Macaca fascicularis: one gene and its partners. The protein of the gene in region 2 interacts with the protein of the main gene of each other region in a pairwise test. Links are inferred from orthologs where the notes say so. Each region holds a gene or a part of one and is shown on either strand. Other genes may lie near its edges. The genes, in order: RIC8A, NUTM1 and SH2D4A.

Region 1 (4,329 bases), on a different chromosome or scaffold from region 2:
GGAAGGGTCTAGCTTGTTGCCAGGCTGGACCACAGAACAGCCGGAAGAATCGCCTGTATCACACCACCAAGATGATTTCCACTTACCAATGTGGCCAGTGGAGAAGCACTGACCACAGCTGTGCAGGAGAACCAGTGCCAGAGCCACTGGGGGAGCCTGTACAGCCATCCCCAGCCTACCTGGTGCAAACGCTTCTCTAGGAAGATGAGGAGGGCACGAATCACATCCATATTCACTCCCATGAACTCCACGGAGTCTTCGTGTGGCTCCAGGGTGAGGAGAACATCCAGACACTTGAGAGGCAAGTTCCCCAGGAGGTTCACTGCGTGGCTGAGGACAGATGGAGGTGGGGGTCTCAATAGGGCTAATCCCTCAGCACAGATGCAATCTTTGTGCCCCCACTGAACCACACATTACATGAGCTGGCGTCTGAGGCCCAAAGGGGCGGCACTGGGGACCAAAGCCAAGGGCAGGGACTGATCTGAGAGGCACTGCCACTCAGCTGTACAGTGGGGTCCCCTGGGGAAGTGGGGGCTGAGACACCCTGCCTCCCCTACCCTGTCTGGGCCAAAGCGCCAGACCATCTCTGGAAACCACACCAGCCAAGGGGCAGGTGGACCAAGAATGGGGACAAGGAGCCAATGTGCCCTAGTAAATACCACACTGTCTGTTGCCACTACCCAAGGCCCAGGTGGCACATTCCTGCCCCCAAATTCATGGCTGTTGTCCTGGCCACATATTAGAAGCACCCAGTATTCTCTGGAAACACACCGATGTCCAGTCTCACTCACCCAGACAAAGTCAGACCCTCTAGGGTGGGGCCTGGGCTCTCAGGTGGTTCTGGTTCACAGCCAGGGCTGAGGATGACCATCTAAACATGTGGACACACTTCCCTCCCAGAAAAAGCCCCATCCTCACCCATGGAACTCCTCTGTGCGGTCTCCAGCAGTAGCAATCATCACACAGTGCCGGAGAAGGGTCCCCAGGTGTCGGTAAAGAGCAGCGTCTTCCTGACCAAAGAAAGAAGGGTTCCTGTGAGGAGCCCCACTCATCCCACTGCTGCCTGCTGAGGCTCTACTGTCTGTTGCACTCCAGAACTGTGTGGCAATGACTGTGCACCTCCTGTACTGCACACTTGGTCCCCTGGGGTCTCCTAGGTGACTCTGGCTAGTGCTGGGGGCAAAAGATGACCACCGCTGTCTTCCTAAAAACTCCATGAGTATTCTTCTAAGAGCACGTCCCTGATTAGGAATGTTAACACACACCCTTGGGATGAAGTCACACTCTTGTCTCAGCCCCACTCACAGCCTCATGGTGGAGGATCTCTTACAGTCTCCCCGGAGAGCACACAGCCCCCTGCCAGGCAGCAAGAGCCAGAAGGGGCCTCTACTTCCCTCAGAATCCTCCCCTAAGGTCCCAGCCCAGAACTGGCATCTCCTTGGCCTTGTCCCAACACGCTGGGAGGTCCTGTTCTCTCCATGTCTGACACCCAGAAACCTGAAGGTACCCAGTGGGAAGCAGGTCCAGGAAATGTTGGAGCTGAGTTGAGACCCATCCATGGGTTGAGGTCAGGGCTCACCTCGTCCACCTCCCCCTTGATGGAGTCGAGGGTGATGTTGAAGAGCACTTTGAGGATCTCCATGGCCCGCTCAGTCTCTTGGGAAGGAAGGAGCTTGGGTGGGTTCCCTTCAGGAGTCACCCCCAGCGTCAGCTCCAGTGTGTCAGTCAGCAGATGCACTCCTTTCAGCTCCTGAAACAGCTGCTGGCGCACATCGGTGCGGAGTGCCGTTAGCAGGAAGAGGAGCCTCAAGTCAAAGAACTGGACATCGTGGGGGAAGCTCCTCTCCCGGTACAGCCCCACACGCTCTGTGAGCTTCACCACTAGGCGGGCCTCTGCTGCCAGCATCTGTGCCACAGGGCTGCTGAGCACGAGGTTGCACAGGCACTTGAGGGACTCCAGTACAACATCCATGTCGGGGGAGTCTGGGACGGACCCCTCAGAGCCAGAGATGTCAGCATAGCAGGCCAGTGCCTGCAGGCTCTGGCGGCTGGTAAACGGGTCCAAGCAGTTGCGGTCCCGGGACAGGATTCGGACACTCTGCAGCCAGGTGACCCGGTGGGAGGGTGGCAAGCCCTGTTCCAGGACGGAGACCAGCAGCTCCGCCAGTCTCTGTGGGCAGGGAGACGAGCGGCTCCACCAGGCCCCTCTTCCTGGGGCCACCCGTCCCTGTCCCTTTACCCCTCGGGCCAGCACCCACCTTCCGGTCCTCCTGTTGAGCATCATCAAACGTGAAGCTCTGGGAGTGCTGCAGAGAGAACGAGTGAATTCAAGTCCACAGAGGGGCAGTATCCGCGCCCGCTGACGGGGGGCGGCCTATTGGCCTCTAACTCAGGCAGCAGCCACTGCTCAGAAGGGGTGGCAGGGTCTACACTCGCCCCCATCCCTACACACCTGCCACCCAACGGGTGCACCCCAGACACTCTCCCCCCAACACTGCATCCCTGACGTGCCACCCCCACGCCGCCGCGTCCCCTCTGCTTGCTGACACAACCCCTGCCTCACCCACACCGTCCCGACCACCCGCGCACGACCCTGCCCCACCCCCTCCGTGCCCGCCCCCCGGCCTCAGGCGGCCGCTCACCTCCTGGTTGTACGACCGCAGAGCTTCCATAATCACATCCTCCTTCCCCGTCTCCACGGCTTCTGCAACCGCCCGGGGCTCCATGGCGCCCCCGGAACCCGGCGCGGGGAAGGCGGGACGGGCCCTTCCTCAACCTTTCCGGGCCGCAGTTCGCCGGCCCCGCCCTGGCCCAGAAAGCCCCGCGCCAGCGCGCGGGGGAGGCCGGGACGGGACGCGGCGTCTGGTGGCGCTTCAAGGGGGCGCGGCCTGAGGCAGCACTGGCGGCTCGGAAGACCCGAGTCGGGCCAAGTCGCCCTGAACCGGACTGATCCCCCTCCTTGTGACCGGGGCTTCTTGGGCCGGAATTTCCAACAGGAAAGGATCTCAGCCCCCACCGCGCCCTGCCACACACACAGTGACGCCCCTCGAGCTCCACAGAACCGATGGGATGTAGACGGGAAAGCCGAAGTGGAAAGGACTTTTCAGTCCCGGGCCATTGGGTTCGTTAGGCGTTTGCTGGGGAATGCAAGCGAACGGGACTCCCAGGCCCCTGCCTTTGTGGAGCTTATGTTCCAGAGGGGAAGGCAGACAAGGAAAAACAAAAGGACATGAGGCGGTCACAGGGCTGTGCTTCAAAAGAAGCAAAAGGTGACTGCTGGGCTGCAAGGGCTGTGAGGCAGTGGTGTTTTTGCTAACACTGGACGATGGGAAGCGAGCCGGGAAAAGACTGGAGGAGCCACTCCAGGCAGAAGGAGCAGCACTTGCAAAGGTGGAAGGGCCGTGAGGGGCCGAGAGAAAGGGGAGCAACGCAGTCTGGCCTGGACTCAGTTCCCTCTTGACAAGCAAAGATCCTGCGTGTCCGTTTCAGTGGCCATCAGGAGGATTCAGTGACGCACAGGAAGCGCGGTCCACTGGCTCTTGTAACAAGTGCCCGGGAGCAAAGGCGTCTACGGCCCCCACTCCCCGTGCCGCCTCCCAGTCTCTTTCCCTGCTTCACTTTCCTGTAGCGCTTTCCGCACACCTGTATTCGACGCGGCGCGCACTCGCAGGCACTAGCGAGGCGCCGATCTCCACTTGACAGAGGAGGCACCCTTGCCCCCTCCACACCCAGGGCTCCTCGCGGGCTTCTGCCCGAGGGGCCTACTCCTCCCTCATGACCCGCCTGTGAATCCTTCCTAACCGTTAGGACCTAACGCATGGCAGCGTCTTTCCACCACCATCGTCTTGGCACTGAGCAAGCAAACGGCCCCGCCCCGCCCCACGTTCACAGGAACAACAAACAAACGTCACATCCGCGGTGCTGCTGTAATCCCAGCACCTTGGGAGCCCGGCAGGCGGGGGCTGCAGTGAGCTGAGATCGCGCCACTGCCTGGGCGACAGTGCTGAAAATAAGTCACAGCGACGCCCATCGCTTCCGCGACCCCGCGGTTCCCCACCCTCGGGCCTAAGCCGGAAATCAGCGAGCCCGACGCCATCTAGGGGCGTGGTTGGCGCGGAGGCGGGGCCATCGCTGGCGGGGGGCGGGGCCGGAAGCCCGTTCCCCGTGACTGCGCCACGTCTGAGGCGGCTGTGGCCGCGTCGGTGTTGGCGTCGAGGAGCCGGGGCAGGGCACGATGGCGGACTGGGCTCGGGGTGAGCGCGGGAGAGCGGAGCCGTTGGGGGCAGGGCCGGGCCGGAACCGACGCCGCTGCCTGTAGAGCCGCGTGCG
Region 2 (4,106 bases):
GTAGTCCCAGCTACTCGGGAGGCTGAGGCAGGAGAATCGCTTGAACCCGGGAGGCGGAGGTTGCAGTGAGCTGAGATCACGCCACTGGTCTCCAGCTTGGGTGACAGAGCAAGAGACCCTGTCCCAAAAAAAAAAAAAAAAGATATGGTTTGTATTTACTTGTAGTTGAATAAAAAATCTCTGCAATTATTCACAAGAAACAGATGATACTGGTTTCCTCTGAGATAGAGAACCTAGTTACAGGAGAAAGGGGTAAGGGGTGGGAGGCAGACTTATTGCTATGTATTTTATTTTGTAGTTTGATTTTTGAACCTTGCTAATGTATTACCTGTTAAAAATTTTTTAAAGGCCGGGCGCGGTGGCTCATACCTCTAATCCCAGCACTTTGGGAGGCCGAGGTGGGTGGATCATGAGGTCAGGAGATCGAGACCATCCTGGCTAACACAGTGAAATCCCGTCTCTACTAAAAATAGAAAAATTAGCCGGGTGTGGTGGCGGGCGCCTGTAGTCCCAGCTACTCAGGAGGCTGAGGCAGGAGAATGGTGTGAACCCGGGAGGCAGAGCTTGCAGTGAGCAGAGATCATGCCACTGCACTCCAACCTGGGCGACAAAGCAAGACTCTGTCTCAAAAAAAAAAAAAAAGTATGTCTAAGTAGTTAATTTTGTTAGAAAGGAAAAGGATGATTTCAGCCTTCAGGTCTTATTAATGAAAGAGTCTTTAGAAAAGAGAAAAGATATCTCAGAGAAAGCAAGAAAGACGCCATGAACCCCAGGGAAGGTCTTTTGGGGGAAATCCACGTTTGGATGAAGCTGTGGCTGTAGAGGATGGTCTGGGAATTACTGGCCTGAAATAGTCACCAGGAACCTTAGCAGATACATTTTATTTTTAAAATTTAAACCAAAATAATTTAACAAAACGAAGGACTTTCTACTCTTGAGGTTTTAAACTGCATGGCAGCTTTTTTATTTAGTGAGGCTTTTCAGCAAAGGGTAAGGCTTCTGTGGAGTACAGAGCCTATGCTAGTAGATTGGACAGCTTTCCAAGGAAATGATGTGCACACAGCAATTGAGCACCTTGGATCATCTGACAATTCTAATTTTAGACTTTAGTTCCCTTGATCCTTAAGTATACAGACCAATGTGGTCTGAATTTAGTTCAGAAAATATAGCCATCATTGGATTAAGTCAGGGGTCTACCATCGACCTGCTGTTAATAGGAAGTCAGTTACAGAACTGGCTGGGATGGAAGGACACAAAATGAGATATGTTGGTGAAGAATTGAAGTATAGGGAACCAAACTCAAAACTGTAATGTGTTGGGAATCTGAGAAAGAATTTACAAATAGCCCTAAAGGGCGAACATCAGTTGTGTTGCCAAACTGTAGTTTGAAGGGAATTCCTGGTTTTTGCGTAGTTACTAGAACCCTTCATGGAATATCTCTCCCCACCCTCACCCCACTTTCCCCTCTCCCCTCCCCCACAGCAGACTGCCTTGAGTTCCATATTCTAGTTCTGTTTGATCTGATCTTTACCTTCCCTTCCTTGGATCCCTGTGCACCTACTTGGAGCCAGGTTACTCTGGGTCCTGGACCTGACTGCCTCATTCTGGAGGCTTCCAGACAGCCACGGTTAGTGCCCAAAGCTGAGAGGATGGCTTCAGATGGAGGTAAGTCTTTAGGTGGTGAGGAGGATTTCTGGTACCTGCTCAAATCCTTTGGGACAAGCTCTTTGGGCTGACCTAAAGGAATGCGAGGTGCTACACCCCATCAAAGGTATCCCACTTGGGGAGGCTAGAGAAGGAGACTGTACCATTAAGACTAGGGGCCGGGGAAGGAAGAGGACCTCCTTAAGGGCAGATCAAGGTGTCTCCGAGGACACATGCTGAGTATAGAGAATGGATGGCAATTAGCAACTTGATTCTCTTGAACAGGGGGCACGTCAGCGTGTGTTCTTGTGGTGGGAGAGGGGATCAGAGGTATGTGTCTTAGGACTGGCACCGAGAGGTTTCAAGGGGGAATGCCCACGTTCATTCATCTGTCTCTTTCAGGCAACTGGAGCCTATTCTAGGATTTTGCCATGCTTGAGCCTATGAGGGGAATGGGATGTGGAGGATGGAGGATGGGAGGGTAAGGTGGGAAGGACTTTAGCGGGAAAACATAATCTGTAGTTATCCGTTGCAGAGAAATGCCTTCCTGAAAACTAGGCTGGAATGTATTATAAACTGCCTCTACTCTGGCCGGGCACGGTGGCTCATGCCTGTAATCCCAGCACTTTGGGAGGCCGAGGCGGGCGGATCACCTGAGGTCAGGAGTTCAAGACCAGCCTGACCAACATGGAGAAACCCCATCTCTACTAAAACTACAAAAAAAAAAAAAAAAAAAAAAAAAAAAAGCCGGGCATGGTGGCGCATGCCTGTAATCTCAGCTACTCGGGAGGCTGAGGCAGGAGAATCCCGTGAACCTGAGAGGCAGAGGTTGTGGTGAGCCAAGATTGTGTCATTGCACTCTAGCCTAGGCAACAAGAGCGAAACTCGGTCTCAAAAAAAAAAAAAAAAGAAAAATCCTGCCTCTGCTCAGAGCCTCACGGCTCCTTCCAGCCCTAGAGGTGGCTTCGCTTTGAGTTCAGGAAGCAGTTTTTCCGGATTCATCCGGGCCAGAGAGGTGGGTCATTACAGCCAGGATGAGATCTGGGGCTTCACCGAGATGCTCTTAGTTTTTCTTCCTTTTATGGATCTCAGGCCTTCAGGCCCCTTTCATTGTGTTCTGTACTCAGCGACATACCCTCAGCCCTTTGCTCTGTGGCTGAAATGAGTTTGAATCTGAGTTTGCTTGTGTGCCATGGTCAGAATGCAGAAGTTGGGTGTTGTTAGTTTGACAGTGTAATATTTTTTGTAAGGGGGAGGAGATTTAAGCAGGTGATATTCTGCTGTTGTTTTCCTGTTTTGTTTTTTTGTTTGAGATGGAGTCTCACTGTGTCGCTTACGCTGGAGTGCAGTGGTGTGATGCTAGCTCACTGCAAAGTCTGCCTCCCGAGTTCAAGCAATTCTCTTTCCTCAGCTTCCTGAGCAGCTGGGATACAGGCGCCCACCACCACACCCAGCTAATTTTTGTATTTTTAGAGAGACGGGGTTTCACCAAGTTGGCCAGGCTGGTGTCTAACTCCTGACCTCAAGCGCCTGTAATCTCAGCACTTTGGGAAGCCGAGGGAGGTAGATCACTTGAGGTCAGGAGTTCAAGACCAGCCTGGCCAACATGGTGAAACCCCATCTCTACTAAAAATACAAAAATTAGCTGGGTGTGTTGGCGCCCGCCTGTAATCCCAGCTACTAGGGAGGCTGAGGCAGGAGAATCGCTTGAACCCAGGAGGCAGCAGAGGTTGCAGTGAGCTGAAATCGCGCCACTGCACTCCAGCCTCGGTGACAGAGACTCTGTCTCGGGGAAAAAAAAAAAGTCCTAGGAGACATAGGTTCTGATTAAGTACACATTTGTATACTTATCCTTGGTCTCTTTGACTAGAGTCCACATAGCCCCTCCCCAGCTGGAACCAGTGACAATGAAGGACTTCATTGTCCTGTCCTTAGCACCTAGCTCAGTGCCTCGTTCCTAGTGAGCCCTAAATTTCTGATGTTAGGAGCTCCAAGCAGAAGGGCCACAGATAGTCTGCATCGCCAAACACGTCCAGCAGTTACTTAAAGATCTGGAAACCTCTCTCCCCACACCGCCCTCCCTTCACTCATTTCCTTGTCCTTATCTAATCCTCTCTAATTATTCCTGGCTGTTATACAACAAAATTTCTGGGAACCAAACATCCAATCCACATATCCTCTCCTGGGAACAGTACTTCTGTGCGTGGTGGCAGAGGCCACAGAGCAGCTGGGAGAAGCAGGGTTCAGGTGGTTTGAGTCTCTGGTTTGGAATAGGTGAGCATAGGGGATGTACGTGGAATGCTGGGTGGAATGTGTTACAGGATGTCTGAGCTTCATGGGCTCATGCTCCTGCTTATAGATTGAATCTTTCTTCTGTTGTTTTAGGTTAAGAGAGATTTATAAGAAGCAACAGGAAAAGGAAAAGGAGGAGGGAATGAGCCAGTCATATTTTTGAAAGTGCC
Region 3 (3,601 bases), on a different chromosome or scaffold from region 2:
TCTCAAACTACCAGAGATTCCTTTGGTAATGAGGAAAAGTTTACATCTGAAAAACTCATTCACACTAAAAAAAGATAGTATTATGATTATTTTCCTTACAGCAGTTCCTTACATTTTAAGAGAGGGTGTTCCCTAAAAAGATACCTCAAAGAAAAATCTCTGAGGTCTAAGAAATGTAAACACAATTGCTATAAATATATTGATATAAGAACTTTGTGTTCTGGTAGTAGAATATAAGGAATCAGTAACAATAAAGGAGATAGAAACCTTTCTTAATACCCCTCAAATCAAACTCCATAGGTGACTTTTTACTACAGCTTCAGGTTAGTCTCATTTCAAGTAAGAGATTTCCTCACAGTTATGCAACTCCATGGTGAATGCTGTGTGTGTGTAGACTTCAAGCAGATATACTGCACTACTGGATTCTCAGTAACATTTAGGATTCATCTACCAAACTGGAACTTGCACTTGCTTTGCTTGTGATTAGTTTGAAATTGTCAAAGCCAGCCAGGAGTTATTCTACCAACACGTTCACAAAAGAAACGTGGCTAAGTTTACCTTTCTTTGGTCTGGGTTTCACTGGCAAGGACTCCTTTCTTTCCATAGCTGCTTCTCTTTCTTTCCATCGTCGGATCTGTTCCTCTCTCATCTTGAAGAACAGGATCTGTTTCTGTTCTTCGCTGAGCTCTGCCAGTAGATCGGGATCTATGTACATCTCCGACAGTATCTGTTTCAGCATCTTTGCAGTTCTGGAGTCTTTTATACCTGTGGCAAAAGTTCCTGAAACTGGCCTCCAGGTGTCCCTCCACCTGTGCTGGCACTTGGGCGTGTCCACAAAACTTCCCGAACAGCTCACAATCCTGGCTGACTGGGGCAATAATTCAGCAAACTGGCTCCTGAGACCTGGCACCAAATGTCCGGTCCAAAATGCTGTTCACTGAACCTACAGAGAGAAAGAGCCCGCATTCAGGTGGCATGTTAAAATGTGTGGACGCTGGCTAGGACGGGTTAAAAAAAAAAAAAAAAGCCAGGAGGAAATACAGTATCACTTTTCATTTCAGGGAGAAAACAGAAAAAGAAAACCTGAGGCACACTTTGTTAAGAGTTTGTGTAACTTCTATCCTATAATTTCTAAAGATACTTTGTCAAAAAAAAGAAAACAAACCCTAACTTTATACAGGTCAATCTCAGGGAAACAAAAAAAGTTCACAGAGGTTTGTCCTGCTCCCAACTAAGCAAACACATGATTACCCCAGAGCCTAACAAACCACCAACTGTGTGGCTGAAAAAAGAAAGGCAAAAAGAAAGGTCACAGGAAGAAATTAAAAGGCTCTCTGCAAAGTACCTATTTCAAAAGAAAATACCATTTTTGAGATGTCACAGAGTAACTCACCCCAAACCAAACCAAAATAGAGCCATGTTCAAGGAAGAAAAAGGAAGAAATAAAAACTAGACCACCATGCAATTTCTGCAATTTCCCTAAAAAGTAGCATTAAATAAACATAATTATGTACTTTCCTCTTCACAAAAGGATAATGTAATTTCCAGGCAACCTACTAGAGCCATGAAAATCAGGGCAGGTGCAAGAGAGAACATCCGTCTACATTCTGGAAGGTCACCGAGTTTTAGGTGTGCTTTTACTAGATAACCTAGTTTAATAAAATCTAAATGGACAGACCAGATAAACTAGCGGGATGAAGAGGTCATTAGGTTCATAACAAAGGATCCTTGATTTATATGAGTTTACTGCATGGCTCCGTGAAAGAGAAACCATAAATCGAGTGTGCACAGTGGCCTCCTAGAGGTTCTCCTGGGGTTGGAAATCCCACTGAGGTTTCATTCTGCTTTCCACATTTCTATTTGGTTGGCTTAAAAATATTACCACACTGTCATACTTTTTCTCTCTATTTTTAAACAATTTCTAAGTCTCATAAACCATCATACTTTTGTAATCAGAAGGAAACTATGTAAATATTTCTATTCTGGAAAACAAGACTTTGGATTCGATGTAGTACGATGTAAGAAAAAAAACTTACTACAACTTTTCAGAATCACATGTGTCCTAAGAAATTCACCAATAGACTAGGCATGGTGGCTCACACCTGTAATCCCAGCACTTTAGGAGGCCAAGGTGGGTGGATCACGAGGTCAGGAGTTCGAGACCAGTCTGACCAATATGGTAAAACTCCACCTCTACTAAAAAAACAAAAAATACAGAAATTAGCCAGGCATGGTAGTGGGCACCTGTAATTCCAGCTACTCGGGAGGGTGAGACAGGAGATCGCTTGAACCCGGGAGGCGGAGATTGCAGTGAGCCGAGATCGCGCCACTGCATTCCAGCCTGGGTGACAGAGACAGACTCCATCTCAAAAAAAAAAAAAAAAAAGAAAAGAAAAAATAAGAAATTGACCAATAATTTGTTGTTTACAGTAACACCTCAATAATCTTACCACCTTGCCATGTGCTCTCAAATATCTTGTTTCTCCATACTATATTCAAACACTCTTAAACTTTAGACAAGTCACTTAGCTATATTATGGCCATCGTAGTGTTGGTTTCTCTTCGTTTACCTTGTCATTGATACAGCTAGATTTGTAATGCTTCTCTCACCACCTGGGGGCCTCCTTCAGCTTCCTGTCTTCCTCCTCTTCCTTGCAAAGTTGTTCCTTGATGTACATCTGTCTTTTGAGACGAGCACGCTCAATAGCTAGGCTACCACAGAATGGTGTGCATACGCAGCACTCAGATTCGCTGACTGTTCATTGCAAAGCCAGACCCTTGATGAAACTACACCTATCCCTACTGACTGCAACCTATCATCTCAGCAGCATTCAACCACCGGAATTCAAATGGAACCAAATATTAAGAGAAAACTTTTAAAGGACTAAAAGTAATGTCACGCCCCCTGCCAGGTCCCCTTGCTAACTTTGTATTTTGCATGGAGATACCCTTAAAGGCTTGAACAGTCAAAAAAATGGATGTCTTGTAATGATTTCTTGACTGTTTCTAGCAGCTTCTGAAGGGGTGGAGCCAATGAAATCCACAAGCTCCAAGATAAAGTGGTAAGAAACGACACGGAATGACTCCTTGACATTCCAGTAAATGTCTTTATGTTCTGTGGTTGGCTTTCGCAGAAATCACACATGGCAGAAAATGAACAGTTCAGTTAGGGTTGAGACTTCCGCTCTGTTCCCCATTTTCAATGCGGTGAGTCCTATTCAAGGCGTGGGTAGAGCCTAAAATCTAAAACCCTTAAAGCGCCAAAGTCACATTCCTACTGTCTCCCCCGCCCTGCATATTCCTGATAACACAGCTAACACTTCTCGTACCAGGCACCATCTTAATTAAGCACTTTACCTGTGTTAACTCGCTTAATCTTCATAATAACCCTTCGAGTCCAGCCCATCACTGTGCTCATTTCACAGATTAGGAAGACAGAGCACAGGTCAGCAGCTGGTAAGCGGCAGAGCCGGGCAGTCCAGCTCTAAGTCAGCTTCACTGTAATCCACAGCACAGAGGCCTTTTTGTGAGTTTATTTGTGTGCCCAGAATCAGAACAGCAGGATGTGGCGCCATGTATGAAATTTCAGAATGGAAGCCAG

What was found.
Region 1: the proteins of NUTM1 (region 2) and RIC8A interact in binary tests that used the Homo sapiens proteins (3 or more experiments, as listed by UniProt). The link is inferred for Macaca fascicularis from reciprocal best matches to the Homo sapiens genes NUTM1 and RIC8A.
Region 3: the proteins of NUTM1 (region 2) and SH2D4A interact in binary tests that used the Homo sapiens proteins (3 or more experiments, as listed by UniProt). The two-hybrid records come from large-scale screens. The link is inferred for Macaca fascicularis from reciprocal best matches to the Homo sapiens genes NUTM1 and SH2D4A.

What each region holds. Positions count from the first base shown.
Region 1 is NC_088388.1:88,460-92,788, reverse strand, and holds the start of RIC8A (chaperone Ric-8A), read right to left. Parts: upstream 2,809-4,329; 5' UTR 2,727-2,808; coding exon 2,643-2,726; intron 2,307-2,642; coding exon 2,259-2,306; intron 2,171-2,258; coding exon 1,580-2,170; intron 1,011-1,579; coding exon 919-1,010; intron 331-918; coding exon 180-330; intron 1-179. Other genes in the region: BET1L (BET1-like protein), read left to right, coding at 4,235-4,253.
Region 2 is NC_088381.1:10,631,868-10,635,973, forward strand, and holds the start of NUTM1 (NUT family member 1), read left to right. Parts: upstream 1-1,260; 5' UTR 1,261-1,310; coding exon 1,311-1,665; intron 1,666-4,106. UniProt on the Homo sapiens protein: Plays a role in the regulation of proliferation. Regulates TERT expression by modulating SP1 binding to TERT promoter binding sites.
Region 3 is NC_088382.1:22,384,231-22,387,831, reverse strand, and holds part of SH2D4A (SH2 domain-containing protein 4A), read right to left. Parts: intron 944-3,601; 5' UTR 740-943; coding exon 559-739; intron 1-558. UniProt on the Homo sapiens protein: Inhibits estrogen-induced cell proliferation by competing with PLCG for binding to ESR1, blocking the effect of estrogen on PLCG and repressing estrogen-induced proliferation. May play a role in T-cell development and function.